Anolis sagrei: one gene and its partner. The protein of the gene in region 2 interacts with the protein of the main gene of each other region in a pairwise test. Links are inferred from orthologs where the notes say so. Each region holds a gene or a part of one and is shown on either strand. Other genes may lie near its edges.

Region 1 (7,021 bases), on a different chromosome or scaffold from region 2:
TCTCTTGTCCCCGCATGAGGAGCTGGAGCTGATAGAGGGAGCTCATCCGCCTCTCCCTGGATTCGAACCTGCGACCTGTCGGTCTTCAGTCCTGCCAGCACAGGGCTTTAAAATGTCAGGAGTGAATGATTCTAGATTATGGCCAGACAGCCTGGAAAACTCACAACGCAATATATACAGTATCCTGTTCTTATTGTTGCTGACATAGGGAGCACTTTCTACTTGTAGCTTGATTATAGGTCTTGAAAAATTACAGCTCCCAGGATTCCACATCTCTGAGCCATGGAAGTTCGAGTGGTGTCAAACTGCAACATTCACACTGTTGAATTAATGCACTTTGACACAACAGACTGCAATTAAAGCTGAGGTAAAGAGCTAGGAAGGTGTCGTGGTTTGAGATTGGGCTTAATTTACTTCTGACCTTGGGCAAGTCAACCCAGAAAACTCTGTGACAGCTTCACCAGAAGTCTGAAAGTACAACAACAATGCTGTCTACAATTAAAACTGAAGGAGAAAGCAAAGCAGACCAACAATATTAAAGGGAAATAATGTTCCTCCAGAACTTGGCCATATAGCCCGGAAAAACCTACAACAACCTGGAAATAATGACGTTACAAGATGGGAAAAATGAAAATGCCACACCCAAGGCAGTCCTCTTGCAGCAACCTGAAAAAAAAAGTAACACCAAATATTGAACATCAAATGGAAATTATCATAGCTTCTAAGGGCAATTACTTCCACAGATAGCAACGCCACATCGCCTGCTGAAAAGTATGTAATTGGTCCCTTGGAGTGCATCTACACTTAAGAATTAATGCAGTTTGATACCATTTTAACTATGGTATCCTGAGAGCTGTAGTCTTTAGCCAAACAAGTCTCAAGCCTGCTACTCAGGGAGACAAGAAGCGAAAAAACCTATCTCCTTCCCTTCCGCAGAACTCGTTTTAGCAGCCTCACAACCCAATTTATCTGCTACACAAAGAAAACCAAAACATCCACCCAAGCGCCCCACGTACAACAGCGCTCCCCGAGCTGCACAAAATGCGCCCCACGCCTCGCTCCTGAACGCATGCGCACGAGAGCCCTGCCGCTTGAAACGACCCGGCCCCTTCCGCCAGTACTTCGAAAGGGGAGGGGGGAAACCTTTCGAGCAAGTGTTCCTGATTGGTCCTGAAGGCTTAAAGGGCTCACTCTGAAGTCCCGCCTCTACAGTTTCACCTCGGTGAAGGGCAGCAGCTCGCATAAATACGCGCACGCGCACTAGTATGTCGAGATTTGTTGGCTCAGAGGCGCGCTGAGGCAAAAGAGAGGACAGGGGAAGCAGGAAGGGGGCGCGTGCGCACTTTCTATAGTAGCATCTCCTCATAGAGCCTTGGGTTGGTTTGAGCGTTGAACTAAGAGTGCATTTATTTATTATTATTTATTTATTTGCTTCATTTCTATACCGTATTTTTCAGCCCTTAACAGGCGACTCAATGCGGTTTACAGTGCAATTAAAACATAACAATGCAACAAACAGGATCAACAACATCGATCCACAACAATTAACAATCAAACAAGACAAATCAACAAAACAACAGACATAACGCCTCAGTTGAAATCAGATCCGTTCTCATAGTCCTTGTGCCATTCCTATGTTCCATTTACCGTCTTCCTTGATTGGTTGCACTGCTTAGCCAAACGCTTGTTCATAAAGCCAGGTCTTAACCATTATCCGAAACTTCAGCAACGAAGGTGCCTGCCTGATGTCTGCCGGCAAGGCATTCCATAGCCGAGGGGCCACCACTGAGAAGGCCCTGTCTCTCGTCCCCGCCAAGCGCGCCTGTGACGCAGGCGGGATCGAGAGCAGGGCCTCCCCAGACAATCTTAATGTTCTAGTCGGTTCATAGGTGGAGATGCATTCGGAGAGGTAAGCGGGGCCAGAACCGTTTAGGGATTTATAGGCTAAAGCCAGCACCTTGAATTGTGCCCGGTAGCGGATTGGCAGCCAGTGGAGCTGGCTCAGCAGAGGAGTGGTATGCTCCCTGAGTGCCGCTCCCGTTAGCAACCTGGCTGCCGAGCGCTGGACCATCTGAAGCTTCCGGGCAGTCTTCAAGGGCAACCCCACGTAGAGCGCGTTGCAGTAATCAATCCGGGATGTAACCAGAGCGTGGACTACCGTGGCCAAATCTACACTGGGGAATGAATGCAGTTTGACACCACTTTAGTTTCTTGAGGCACCAGCACTATTTCACAGAGAAGGCTAAAGGCCTTGTGAAAATATGACTCCGGGATATTATAGCATTGAGCTAGGGCTGTTCCAAGTGGTATCAAACTGCATTAATTCTCCAGTGTATAGATGCACCCTAACATAAACGAAGAAATCCGCTTCCTCAAGCGCAGCATCCCGTCAGTTAGTTGGTACTTTAAAGAGTTGCTGTGAGCTTTCCGGGCTGTATGGCCATGTTCTAGATGAAGCATGCTCTCCTGGCCTTTCGCCCACATCTGTGGCAGGCATCCTCAGAGGTTATGAGGTCTGTTGGAAACTAGGCAAGTGGAGTTTACATATTTGTGGAAAGTCCAGGGTGGGAGAAAGAACAGCCACCAGGCTGTTTTTTAAACAGAAACAGATTTTAATTAATTAATGAGATTTAATACTTTAAATGAATGTAATTACTGGATTTTATTATGTACTTGCTGTCCCCTGCCACGAGTTGCTGTGGACCAGTCTGTGTATATGTATTTTGTGTGTGTATATATTTATGTATATATGTGTATATATTTATGTATATATGTGTCTCTTCTGCTTTGCTTTTCAGTTTTTTAATGAGTGATGGTCACTCATTGGCCTGATATGTATATTGTGTCCAAATTTGGTGTCAATTCGTCTAGTGTATTTTGAGTTATGTTAACCCCACAAACGAACATTACATTTTTATTTATATAATTTTATTATGTGTACATTGGAGACATTGAATTGTTGCTGGCTGGAAGCTGCCCTGAGTCTCCCCCTGGGGGTTGAGAAGGGCGGGGTACAAGTATCTGAAATAATAATAATAATAAATAATAATAATTGTCTGCTTGAGGCAAGTGTGAATGTTGCAATTGGCCACCTTGATTAACATTTAATGGCCTTGCAGCTTCAAGGTCTGGCTGCTTACTGCCTGGGGAATCCTTTGTTGGGAGGTGATTAGTTGGCCCTGATTTATTCTTGTCTGGAATTCCCCTGTTTTTGAGGATTGCTCTTTATTTACTGTTTTGATTTTAGAGTTTTTAAATACTGGTAGCCAGATTTTGTTCATTTTCATGGTTTCCTCCTTTCTGTTGAAATTGTCCAGGTTTGTCAATTTTAATGGCTTCTCTGTGTAGTCCGAGGAGCTAACACCTCCCAACAAAGGAGCCCCCAGGCAGCAACCAGCCAGGCGTTGGAGCTACAGGGCCATTAAATGATAATCAAGGTGGCCAGTTGCCACATTCACACTTGCCTCAAGCAGACAAGAGTTCATTCTCCTACCCTGGACATTCCGCAGATATATAAATCCCATTTGTCTAGTTTCAAACAGATCTCACAACCTCTGAGTATGCCTGTCATAGATGTGGGCGAAACGTCAGGAGAGAATGCGTCTGGAACATAGCCAAACAGCCCGGAAAACTCAGTAATTCCGGCTTCAACAACAGTATTAAATCCTGTGGTTGCCTCCTTCCTGCAGAGTCCTGGGGCTTGTAGTTTAGTGAGGCCCAGGAACCCCCCTGGCTGAGCATTTTGAAGTCCCCTCCCCTAAACTACAATCCCCAAGATTCTGCAGGAGGGATGCACTCTCGCTTTGAAGTCTCGTGTGACCCCGGGTTTGCCCTTCCCTCCGTCCACCTGGGCAGCTGCGTCTCAGCCAATGGCTGTCCCCGTTCGGGAGGCGCGCGCTGCTGATTGGACCGCGGGTTGTGACGTAGTTTGAAAATAAAATATTTGAACGGCGGCAAGCCTGGGTTGCAGGCGTTGAGAGCGCGGGTCGTCGTTAACAGTTGGCTGCGGAAGTGTTGGCTCCGGAGCTGGCTGTATTCCCCAAGCAGCAATGGCGGGGAGCACAAAGGGTAAGTCCTGGATCGGGAGAAGGCGGGCTGCGTGGCCTTAAGGGTCGCCCGCCTCCGCCTCGCATCCTTCCCTTCGTGCACAGGGAATCAGAGCTGGAAGAGACCTGATGGGCCATCCAGTCCAACCCCCTGCCAAGAAGCAGGAATATTGCATTCAAATCACCCCTGACAGATGGCCATCCAGCCTCTGCTTAAAAGCTTCCAAAGAAGGAGCCTCCGCCCCGGAGTGTGGAAGCTTTTAAACAGAGGCTGGATGGCCATCTGTCAGGGATGATTTGAATGCAATATTCATGCTTCTTGGAAGAGGGTTGGACTGGATGGCCCATGAGGTCTCTTCCAGCTCTTTGATTCTATGGTTCTATGAACTGGGTTATTTGGAAGTGTATACACCAGGCCTGGGCCAACTTGGGCCCTGCAGGTGATTTGGACTTAGGAATGGTGGGAGTTGGAGTCCAAATCATCTGCAGGGCCCAAGTTGGCCCAGGCCTGGTATACACGCAATTATTTCATACACAATGTTTTTAATAGTTCTGTGCATGAAACATTTTGAGTATATTGAACCATCCCAAAACAAAGAGAACAAACCTTATTCTCCTGGTTGGATGATTTCAAAGCCTTTGGAGTTTCTGGGTAAGAGATGCCCACCCTATAGATTGCCCCCCAATATGTTCAGTTGAACCCCTCCCATCTTCCAGGTCTGAAATACTCCAGAATTTGATGCATGAGATAGCCAGCCAGCCCTTGGTTTTCCGATGTTAAAAACACATCTGGCCCCAACATTTTGGCTAAGGGATGCTCAGCGTGTTGTTATTGTGACTGTCAGAGGTTTGGAGTATTATATCATTTCTAAAGTGAGGCCCTGGTGGCGCAGCGGATTAAAGCTTGTTGACCGAAAGGTTGGCGGTTCAAATCCAGGGAGCGTGGTGAGCTCATAGAATCAAAGAGTTGGAAGAGACCTCATGGGCCATCCAGTCCAACCCCCTGCCAAGAAGCAGGAATATTGCATTCAAATCACCCCTGACAGATGGCCATCCAGCCTCTGCTTAAAAGCTTCCAAAGAGGGAGCCTCCACCACACTCCGGGGCAGAGAGTTCCACTGCTGAACGGCTCTCACAGTCAGGAAGTTCTTCCTAATGTTCAGATGGAATCTCCTCTCTTGTAGTTTGAAGCCATTGTTCCGCGTCCTAGTCTCCAAGGAAGCAGAAAACAAGCTTGCTCCCTCCTCCCTGTGGCTTCCTCTCACATATTTGTACATGGCTATCATATCTCCTCTCAGCCTTCTCTTCTTCAGGCTAAACATGCCCAGTTCCCCAAGCCGCTCCTCATAGGGCTTGTTCTCCAGACCCTTGATCATTTTAGTCGCCCTCCTCTGGACACATTCCAGCTTGTCAATATCTCTCTTGAACTGTGGTGCCCAGAATTGGACACAATATTCCAGATGTGGTCTAACTAAAGCAGAATAGAGGGGTAGCATTACTTCCTTAGATCTAGACACTATGCTCCTATTGATGCAGGCCAAAATCCCATTGGCTTTTTTTGCCGCCACATCACATTGTTGGCTCATGTTTAACTTGTTGTCCATGAGGACTCCAAGATCTTTTTCACACGTACTGCTCTCGAGCCAGGCGTCCCCCATTCTGTATCTTTGCATTTCATTTTTTCTGCCAAAGTGGAGTATCTTGCATTTGTCACTGTTGAACTTCATTTTGTTAGTTTTGGCCCATCTCTCTAATCTGTCAAGATCGTTTTGAATTCTGCTCCTGTCCTCTGGACCATTGGCTATCCCTCCCAATTTGGTGTCGTCTGCAAACTTGATGATCATGCCTTCTAGCCCTTCATCTAAGTCATTAATAAAGATGTTGAACAGGACCGGGCCCAGGACGGAACCCTGCGGCACTCCACTTGTCACTTCTTTCCAAGATGAGGAGGAAGCATTAGTGAGCACTCTCTGTGTTCGTCCACTTAACCAATTACAGATCCACCTCACCGTAGTTTTGCCTAGCCCACATTGGACTAGTTTCCTTGCCAGAAGGTCATGGGGGACCTTGTCGAAGGCCTTACTGAAATCCAGGTACGCTACATCCACGGCATTCCCCGCATCTACCCAGCTTGTAACTCTATCGAAGAAAGAGATCAGATTAGTCTGGCATGACTTGTTTTTGATAAATCCATGTTGACTATTAGTGATGACTGCATTTGTTTCTAAGTGTTTGCAGACCGCTTCCTTAACAATCTTTTCCAAAATCTTGCCCGGTATCGACGTGAGGCTGACCGGACGGTAGTTGTTTGGGTCATCCTTTTTTCCCTTCTTGAAGATTGGGACCACATTGGCCCTCCTCCAATCTGCTGGAACTTCTCCCGTTCTCCAAGAACTCTCAAAGATGGTTGCCAGTGGTTCCGAAATGACTTCCGCTAGTTCCTTCAATACTCTGGGGTGTAGTTGATCTGGCCCTGGGGACTTGAACTCATTAAGAGCGGCCAGGTATTCCTGGACGACTTCTTTCCCAATTTGGGGTTGGATGTCCTCCAATCCCTCATCCACTCCATCTTGCTGAGGTTGAAGACTCTCTTTTTGTGAGAAGACCGAGGCAAAGAAGGCATTAAGTAGTTCTGCCTTTTCCCTATCCCCTGTCAGCATTGCCCCATCTTCTCCCACTGTTAGGCCCAGCTTCTGCCAACCTAGCAGGTCAAAGACATGCAAATGTGAGTAGATCAGTACGTACCACTTGGGCGGGAAGGTAATGGGACTCCATGCAGTCATACTGGCCACATGATCTTGGAGGTGTCTATGGACAATGCCGGCTCTTTGGCTTAGAAATTGAGATGAGCACCACCCTCGCAGAGTCAGACATGACTAGACTTAATGTCAAGAGGAAAACTTTTACCTTTAAAGTAACAATAAGTGAGTATAAGTCTCAGTACCATTCCAGCAGCAAGAATTAAGGACTTAATC
Region 2 (7,710 bases):
CTTACACAAGACTTCGGCCTACTAACTCTTTCAGTGCTTGACTCCCACTTTTGTAATCAAAAATACTCAGTTAATTTTTTTTAAATATTTCTGACAGAGAGAGCAGGAAGTGAGAGGAAATCTATCCCCCAGAAGGGAAATTCACTCCCAGAAGTTATCATGAAGAAAAGGTGTCTCCATTGAACTTCAGCATCAATTCTTGTTTCCACAACAAACCACCTTTTTCGAAATCCAATTATCACAGGGACAGAAGATGAGAGGAAATCTTCTGAACAGGCAGTAAAACAAACACCACTCTTCCCTAGGCTATCCAACGCTTATATATTTGATATAATTATTTTAAAAATTCATGCAGTTTTCAAACATACATAGTTTTCCTCAGTGTCTCTTTATCCTAATTCACTTTTAGGACTCTACCTTCATATATCTAAAAACAAGAAAGGCAACCTAAGATGTTTGTAGCAAGAATTACAAGGAAAGATGAGGACCCTGTACCCATCTGACTATATTAGGTTGGCGTTATGATTTAATAAATATAACTGTTCCAACTTACATACAAATTCAACTTAAGAACAAACCTACAGAACCTATCTTGCTCGTAACTTGGAGACTGCCTGTACAGAACCTCAATCTATTCCTGTTACAATAAACTGAAGAGCAGTTCTTACCTCTCTGGATACAGCTCTCTTTGGTTCAACAACTCTACCATCAACTTTGTGTGGTCTGGCATTCATGGCAGCATCAACCTCTTCCACTGTTGAGTATGTCACAAATCCAAAGCCCCTGGAGCGCTTAGTATTGGGATCTCTCATCACCTAGAATGAAGTATTCAAATCAGTATTTCATTTTGCGTTCTGCATATACCAAGTGGGGGCAACCACTTTCCTTAAGGTTTGTTGGTGGTGTCATATATCAAGTATGGGTAGCACTGAAACTAATAGTGGATACAGAACAAATATATTAAAGACCAACCCTTTTCTCACAGATACCCCTCCCACTGAAGTTGCTGGGAAACAACCAGCAAATGCCTTGTTTTAAATGAATTTGAAATTATGGGTGCATTAAATCTTGTCAAGCCAAGTGCAGCCATAGTTCATAAGCCACACACACACACACACTCCAAGGATATAATACCCACCAAGCTCATGAGCTGGATTTCCTAAGATTAACTTGCAATAAGGTAACTTCACATTTGTCCTATCCAGTATATCAGATTTCATTAACACAAAAGGGAAAATCAAAGCTAGTACTAATTCCAACCCACCCCAACATGCTGGAACAATATGCCCCCTTCTTTTTCAATAGCTTCTCTAATACTTGTTAGGTGTGCTGTCCTTTAAGCTGCAATACCCAATCCAGTCCAAACCAGAAATGTTTCCCTTGTAATAGCTGTGCTCAAGATGCTGGAGATACTTACCACACAGTCTGTAAGTGTCCCCCATTGCTCAAAATGATTGCGAAGGCTCTCATCTGTTGTCTCAAAACTGAGGCCCCCAATAAACAGTTTGCGCAGCTGTTCAGGCTCCTTCGGGGACTAAAAGAGAAAAAAGCAAGGTGATAAAACAACAAGTAAAATTGCCCGGATGGTTCTGCAGAATATGTTCACTCAACTGTTCGCCGTCTACATTTTGTGTATTTTAGTACTATCCTCTCTTTAGGAATATCCAAGTCCTCTAAAATTACTCAATGGTCACCCTTTGCCAGAACAGAGTCCTAGAGGCATTTTCACAGGTAAAAAGAAAATAATTGTGATTCTCCCATTTCAGAGGGGTCCTGTATCTTTAACCCCTGTGAAGGCAGAGCTCCTACTGTAAATGAAAAGAAACACTCTTACCATGCCACAAGCATTTGTGAAACTAGCATGTTACTTACTCTTGACTACAAAGTCTTAAACTTCATTGGGAGCACTTAGGCACAGATTCCAAATATTACAGATTATGCCACTGTTTCTTTAAGTACTTTCTGGGTTTCTCTCAATTTCTACACTGAAACAAAGAGTGTTTTGCAGCATAATTTTGTAAGAGAGTTGAAAATTACAGCATATAGGTTTTGCTGACAATTGCCTCATTTCCTGTGTTTTCAGCACTTCTGGCACACATAATTGTCAGAATAATTAAGTTGGGCAATATAAATAAACTGACTAGCAGACCTGTTAAAAAACCCAGAATTGAGCCACTGAAAAAATAAACATACCATTGGGGGAAATTATTGCATTTTTAAAGACTCCACAGCAAATAATTTTTAAGGCATGCTACAATGAATGACTAAGGATATATACTATTGCTCAAGACTGCTGCCTGCAAATACAAGTGTTTTTTCTGGTCTATGTAAATATAGTGCAGAGGATCCACAGAAAGAGCACCATGGGTCTTGGCAACATGGGAATATGTTTTGCTTTCATGACCATGCACCAGATAACAGAAGCATAAAAAGCAGATTTTGGAATGAACTGTGTAACGACCACCTCGCCAACTTAGAAAGGGTGGAGTATGGAAGAAAGGAAAGGGATGTAATGGCATTCTAAAGGCTGAGGAAAACAGGTTGGTAGCATTAGCTTTTGTAAATTTGAGCATTATTATTTTATTTATTTATAGTCCACTCTTTAGTCACAAAGGCTCGGTGTTTTCCAAAATATTAATTTACTTTTACAATTACAATATAAATACGATATAATACAATAAGATAAGATGGAGCGATGTCTGGCTGGCTCCAACTCAGTGGGGAGAGCGGTCTCTCAAAAACTGATGGATAGTCAGGTAGTCTTTAAATTGCAACAAAATTGCAGATTGATATTCCAAAACCAACACAGTTCTCTCTAAATACTACAAAAGCAGTGTAACTGGCTGAATAATTAAGGTGCTTGAGTCCAGAATGCTTCTCAGGCAAGATGTCCATCTACATGGAATTTATGTAGTTTAATAATTTAATTGCTATTTTATTTATTTACTATACTATTTTATACCCTGCCATCTCTCACTCCGAAGGGGACTCAGAGCAGCTTACAAGTTATATATTACATTATTAGCATAGTACAATGCTAGCATCATATATTATTATATTGTACTACACCATTATGATGCAAAATTATTAGTAATATTACATGTACTATATAATTATTATATTTTATTATGTTACTAGCCACCCCCTGCCACGCATTGCTGTGGCCCAGTCTGCGTTTTGCGTGCATGTGTGTGTGTATATATATATATGGTTTGGCAAATGCGTTGTAATGTATTTTTTCTCTTTTAAATTCCCTTCTGCAGTGTTTTTCAGTGTTTTTATGAGTGATAGTCACTCATGGGCCTGATAGGTGTATTGTGTCCAATTTTGGTGTCAATTTGTCCAGTGGTTTTTGATTTATGTTAATCCCACAAACGAACATTACATTTTTGTTTATATAGATTATACTGTATTAGTATTATATTGTATTACATTATAATACTACAATCAATATTATAAGTACATATAATATATTATATTGCCTGTGTCTCAATGTTATGGAATCCTACGAGTTGTAGTTTGGTGAGGCACCATCACTCTTTGGCAGAGAAGGCTGAAGACCTTACAAAAGGCTATCTCTCAGAATGATACTGAACCGTAGGAGTTAAAGCTGTATCAAACTGCATAATCTTCGACACAATGAATCAAATGGGTTTATTCAAGTTCGAAATGGAATCAATGAGGATTCTGGGCTCAAGAGACAAAGCGAGCGATCACGTGGCTCAGCCCTTTCCCATCCCCCGCACAGAGCTCAAGGGGGAAAAGCTGTGCTCTACGGCGCGCATGCGCTCCAGAGAAAGCCTGCTGGACTGCACAGCGCATGCGCAGCCATTACAGGCGCCGGGGGAAAGCTTAGAACGCCACGCACTGTAAAAGATGGCGCCTGCCCCGGGAAGCCAGCGCGCATGCGTAGTGGCCGGGGAAGGTGGAGGAAAAGCAGGCCCAAGCGGCAAGGGGAAGGAGGCCGAAGCAGAAGCTCAAAAATGGCCAATAGGGGGGAAAAAACAGCCAGCATTGGCGCGGGGAGGATTTTTAACACTTACTTCGTTAGGAGACATATCGCACCCGTAATCGGACGATCCCTAAAGGCAAAGGAAACATAATTCCACAAAAACAAGCCACAGGTTTGGTTTCGAAACAACACGACACAAACGCCCGCGGGCGGACCTTACCTCAGACTTCGACATGGTGGCGATATTCACTCGGCGAGGCCTAGCCCGGCTTCCTCCCCAACGCGGCTTCTTCCTTCTTCTGCAGCTGAGGCGGAAAGAGGCAGAGTCAGCAGCGCCCCGGCGCTTCACTACTAAGGCCCGCCCCCGGCCAACCACGATTGGTCAGTCTCCTAAGCCGCTTCCTCTCCCATTGGGCAGCGGGCAGATTGGCCGCAACCTATTGGACAACAGAATAGTGACCTCGCCCTTTTTCGCACGGCTTGCCCACCTCCGTTCGCTTGCTATTGGGTAAGATACTTGTCACTCCTCAATTTTGTCCTCCGCCATTTCTGAGGCAGCACCCGCCCCCTCTCCATGGTAGCTTTCCCTTTATTGGCCAATTTAGAACGCATCTCTCTTGTGATTGGCTTACATACCCGGATTCCATTTTTCCGGTTGGTCAGCTTTCTTTTCATTCATTTTAACAGAGGCGGGAATTAAGTTGGCAGCCTTAGAACGTTTTTCCTTTAACGGTCCCAAGAACTGTATGCAACGCCTTTGGCGAAGGTGGCAGCGGGGGTTAGAATAAAAGAGGTGGAAAGGGCCATTCAGATCTATAAAAGCTTGCTTCCAGGCAGCAACAGCAGCAGCAAACGGTGAGGCGGGGCCTACAAAAGCCACGCATGCGCCTTAAGTTCACTCTTGTGTCAGACAGGAGGAAGGGAGGGAGGGACGCTGGGAGCGGTGCGCGCGCCTCACGCCAGCGCGAGAAAGGGGCGGAGGGGGGGGGCAGCTCGGCGCGTGCGCACTGCGAACCTGTTTTGGCGGGCGTTGCGCAGAAGCGGCGGTTGTGAGGGGGTGGGGGAAGTTGGTTCCGCACCGAGCCGTTACTTTTTCCACTCTCCCAGGTGAGCGACCACGGGAAATAACTCGGCGGGCGGCGTGCTAGCGAAAGCCGGTCCTTTAGAGGGAGGGGGCGTGGTCTCGGCGTGATTGGGAGCTTGCCTGAACCGCACTGTGGTACCGTTGGAAGAGGGGGCGGGGCCTGAGGGTGGGCGGGGCCAGCTTGCATGAGTGACAGCCTGGCGGGTCGAAGGGTGTGGAGGCGGCCCGAGCGAGAGAATGCTGAGAGGGAGGAGGGAGGGGTTGACCGAGGGGGCGGGCGCTTCTCATTCTTTCGCGGGATTGGTGGAATGCCTCTCGAGCGACGTGCGCGCTCTCCAATCAAGAGGAGTGTGGGTGTGGGCGGGCGGAGTTTGCGGCTTTCCCGCCAGGAACCTCCTCCCTCGTGGAAGTCAGTTGCCCTCTTGTGGTCTGTGCTGCTCATAAGGGCCTGCTTTTCAATAATAGTAATCATAATAATAAGAAATCAAAGTCTTTTAAGTAAAGTCCATGATTCAGTGAATGATCGAACTAGTTCTAATGCTCTTCTTGTTCAATCTCAAACCTTTTTGTATTTCCAGTATATCCAGGGACCTATGAATTGTCCATGTCCTTTCAGTACCTCTGCGGTCCGCCAACATGGCAGACCGTTCAGCCCTTCAGATCTTGTGCGTGTCTCTTGTCTTTTGCTCAAGAAATTGGCAATGCCTGCTAACGTTTGCCGGGGCTGCCCTCATTGCAAAGCGATAGTTTAAAAAGCTCGGAATCCCATAAACTTGGGTGACTTAAAAACAGAAAGGGCAGCGGTTTTCCCAGGGTCCTTCCACACAGCCATATAACCCAGAATATTAAGGCATAAAATTCCACAATATCTGCTTTGAACTGGGTTATCTAAATTCACACTGGGTTGTAGGTTTTTTCGGGCTAAATGGCCATGTTCTAGAGGCATTCTCTCCTGACGTTTGTCTCACTACCTCTGAGGATGCTTGCCATTGATGCAGGTGAAACGTCAGGAGAGAATGCCTCTAGAACATGGCCATATAGCCTGAAAAAACGTACAACAACCCAGTGATTCCGGCCATGAAAGCCTTTGACAATACATTAAATTCACACTGCAATATAATCCAGTTCAAAGCAGATAATGAGGGATTTTATTCAGCTGTGTGGAAGGGGCCTGAGATGATGCTAAATTTCAATGGAAATATTATTTCAGCAATACCCATCTTAACGAAAAATAATCTGTGTCATGTATTTTTGTAGTTTAACCTAAGAACTGAGACTTCTTCAGTGCTGAGTAGGTGGGTTTTTAATATTATTATTTATTGACTGTGTTTATACACCACTTTTCACAGGAGCCCCCAGTGGCGCAGTGGGTTAAACCCCTGTGTCGGCAGGACTGAAGACCGACAGGTCGCAGATTCAAATCCGGGGAGAGACAGATGAGCTCCCTCTATCAGCTCCAGCTCCTCATGCGAGGACATGAGAGAAGCCTCCCACAAGGATGATAAAAACATCCAATCATCTGGGCAACATCCTTGCAGACGGCCAACTCTGTCACACCAGAAGCAACTTGCAGTCTCTCACGTTGCTTCTGACATGACAAAACAAACAAAACCACTTTTCACACCCCGGGGGGTGGGGATAGGACTCAAAGTGGTGTATATCAAGTAATGGCAAGATTCAATGCCGAGATATATACACACCAAACATAATAACTAAAACAATACATATAACTATAAATGAAACCATTAAAATCATATTAAACAGAACACAAACATTTAGACAATTGAAACATAGCTTTAACATCTTAATGTTAAAATCACATAATCCAAAATTCAAAAATACTCATCGCAACCCTTATTGGAATATTTGGGGAAAGAAAAAAATATTTTGGTGGGTGGAATTTCACTCTTACCTTGCCCAGCCTTGCGTTAAAGTGTATTTTGAATTGTTTAATAGTTTGATTTTACTTTAATAGTGACTCTCAATGTTTTTTTTAAACTATTGTGATCATTAATTTGTTAGCTGCCTTCAGTCCTAATCTTGGGGGAAAGGCAGAGTAGTATAATAATGATAATGCAATTCAAGGGAAAAGAGAAGCAATAGATTTTAAATGTATAGGCAGTTGCCAGATAAATTAGGGTCTGGTTGCTTGAGAGTTACAATTTAAAATAGGTCTAGCTAATACTACATACTGTAGTATATCATATGCTCTGTATTGACTTGATATTCATACTGAAATACAGTAATTAAAAGCAAATAAAGCCAAACATAACATCACAGTTTTGCTGTATTTTAAAAATTGCTTTGTGTATACAGTATTACTTATTTATTTCAGGAATTTCTATACCGCCTTTCTCCAGCAGACCCAAAGTAATTCACAACATCATTAAAACATACAGTATAATATAAAACCATTGATTAAAACAACCCAAAAGAGTTAAATGGATGCTCCCTTATAGAAAATTAAAAATTACCATTAAATTAAAAGCAGTCTAAAATTTCCATATGACAATAAAATACTACAAAATACTAGGCTTCTGTTGCAGTTCATTTAAAAGGTATTTCAAACAGGTGGGGTCTGATCTGATTATTTCTTTGATAGCTTGAGAGTTCTGGTTGCTTGAATTCCAGTTAACTGAAAGTCTATTGTGCAATGTATAGACCCATCTACAAT

Evidence for each region. The genes of interacting proteins can lie anywhere in the genome.
Region 1: the proteins of CBX5 (region 2) and INCENP interact in binary tests that used the Homo sapiens proteins (3 or more experiments, as listed by UniProt). The link is inferred for Anolis sagrei from reciprocal best matches to the Homo sapiens genes CBX5 and INCENP.

What each region holds. Positions count from the first base shown.
Region 1 is NC_090021.1:237,572,487-237,579,507, forward strand, and holds the start of INCENP (inner centromere protein), read left to right. Parts: upstream 1-3,943; 5' UTR 3,944-4,049; coding exon 4,050-4,068; intron 4,069-7,021. UniProt on the Homo sapiens protein: Component of the chromosomal passenger complex (CPC), a complex that acts as a key regulator of mitosis.
Region 2 is NC_090022.1:188,553,098-188,560,807, forward strand, and holds the start of CBX5 (chromobox protein homolog 5), read left to right. Parts: upstream 1-4,637; 5' UTR 4,638-4,807; intron 4,808-4,969; exon of another isoform or gene 4,970-5,059; intron 5,060-7,710. Other genes in the region: HNRNPA1 (heterogeneous nuclear ribonucleoprotein A1), read right to left, coding at 669-815, 1,418-1,534, 4,044-4,082, 4,173-4,187. UniProt on the Homo sapiens protein: Component of heterochromatin that recognizes and binds histone H3 tails methylated at 'Lys-9' (H3K9me), leading to epigenetic repression. In contrast, it is excluded from chromatin when 'Tyr-41' of histone H3 is phosphorylated (H3Y41ph).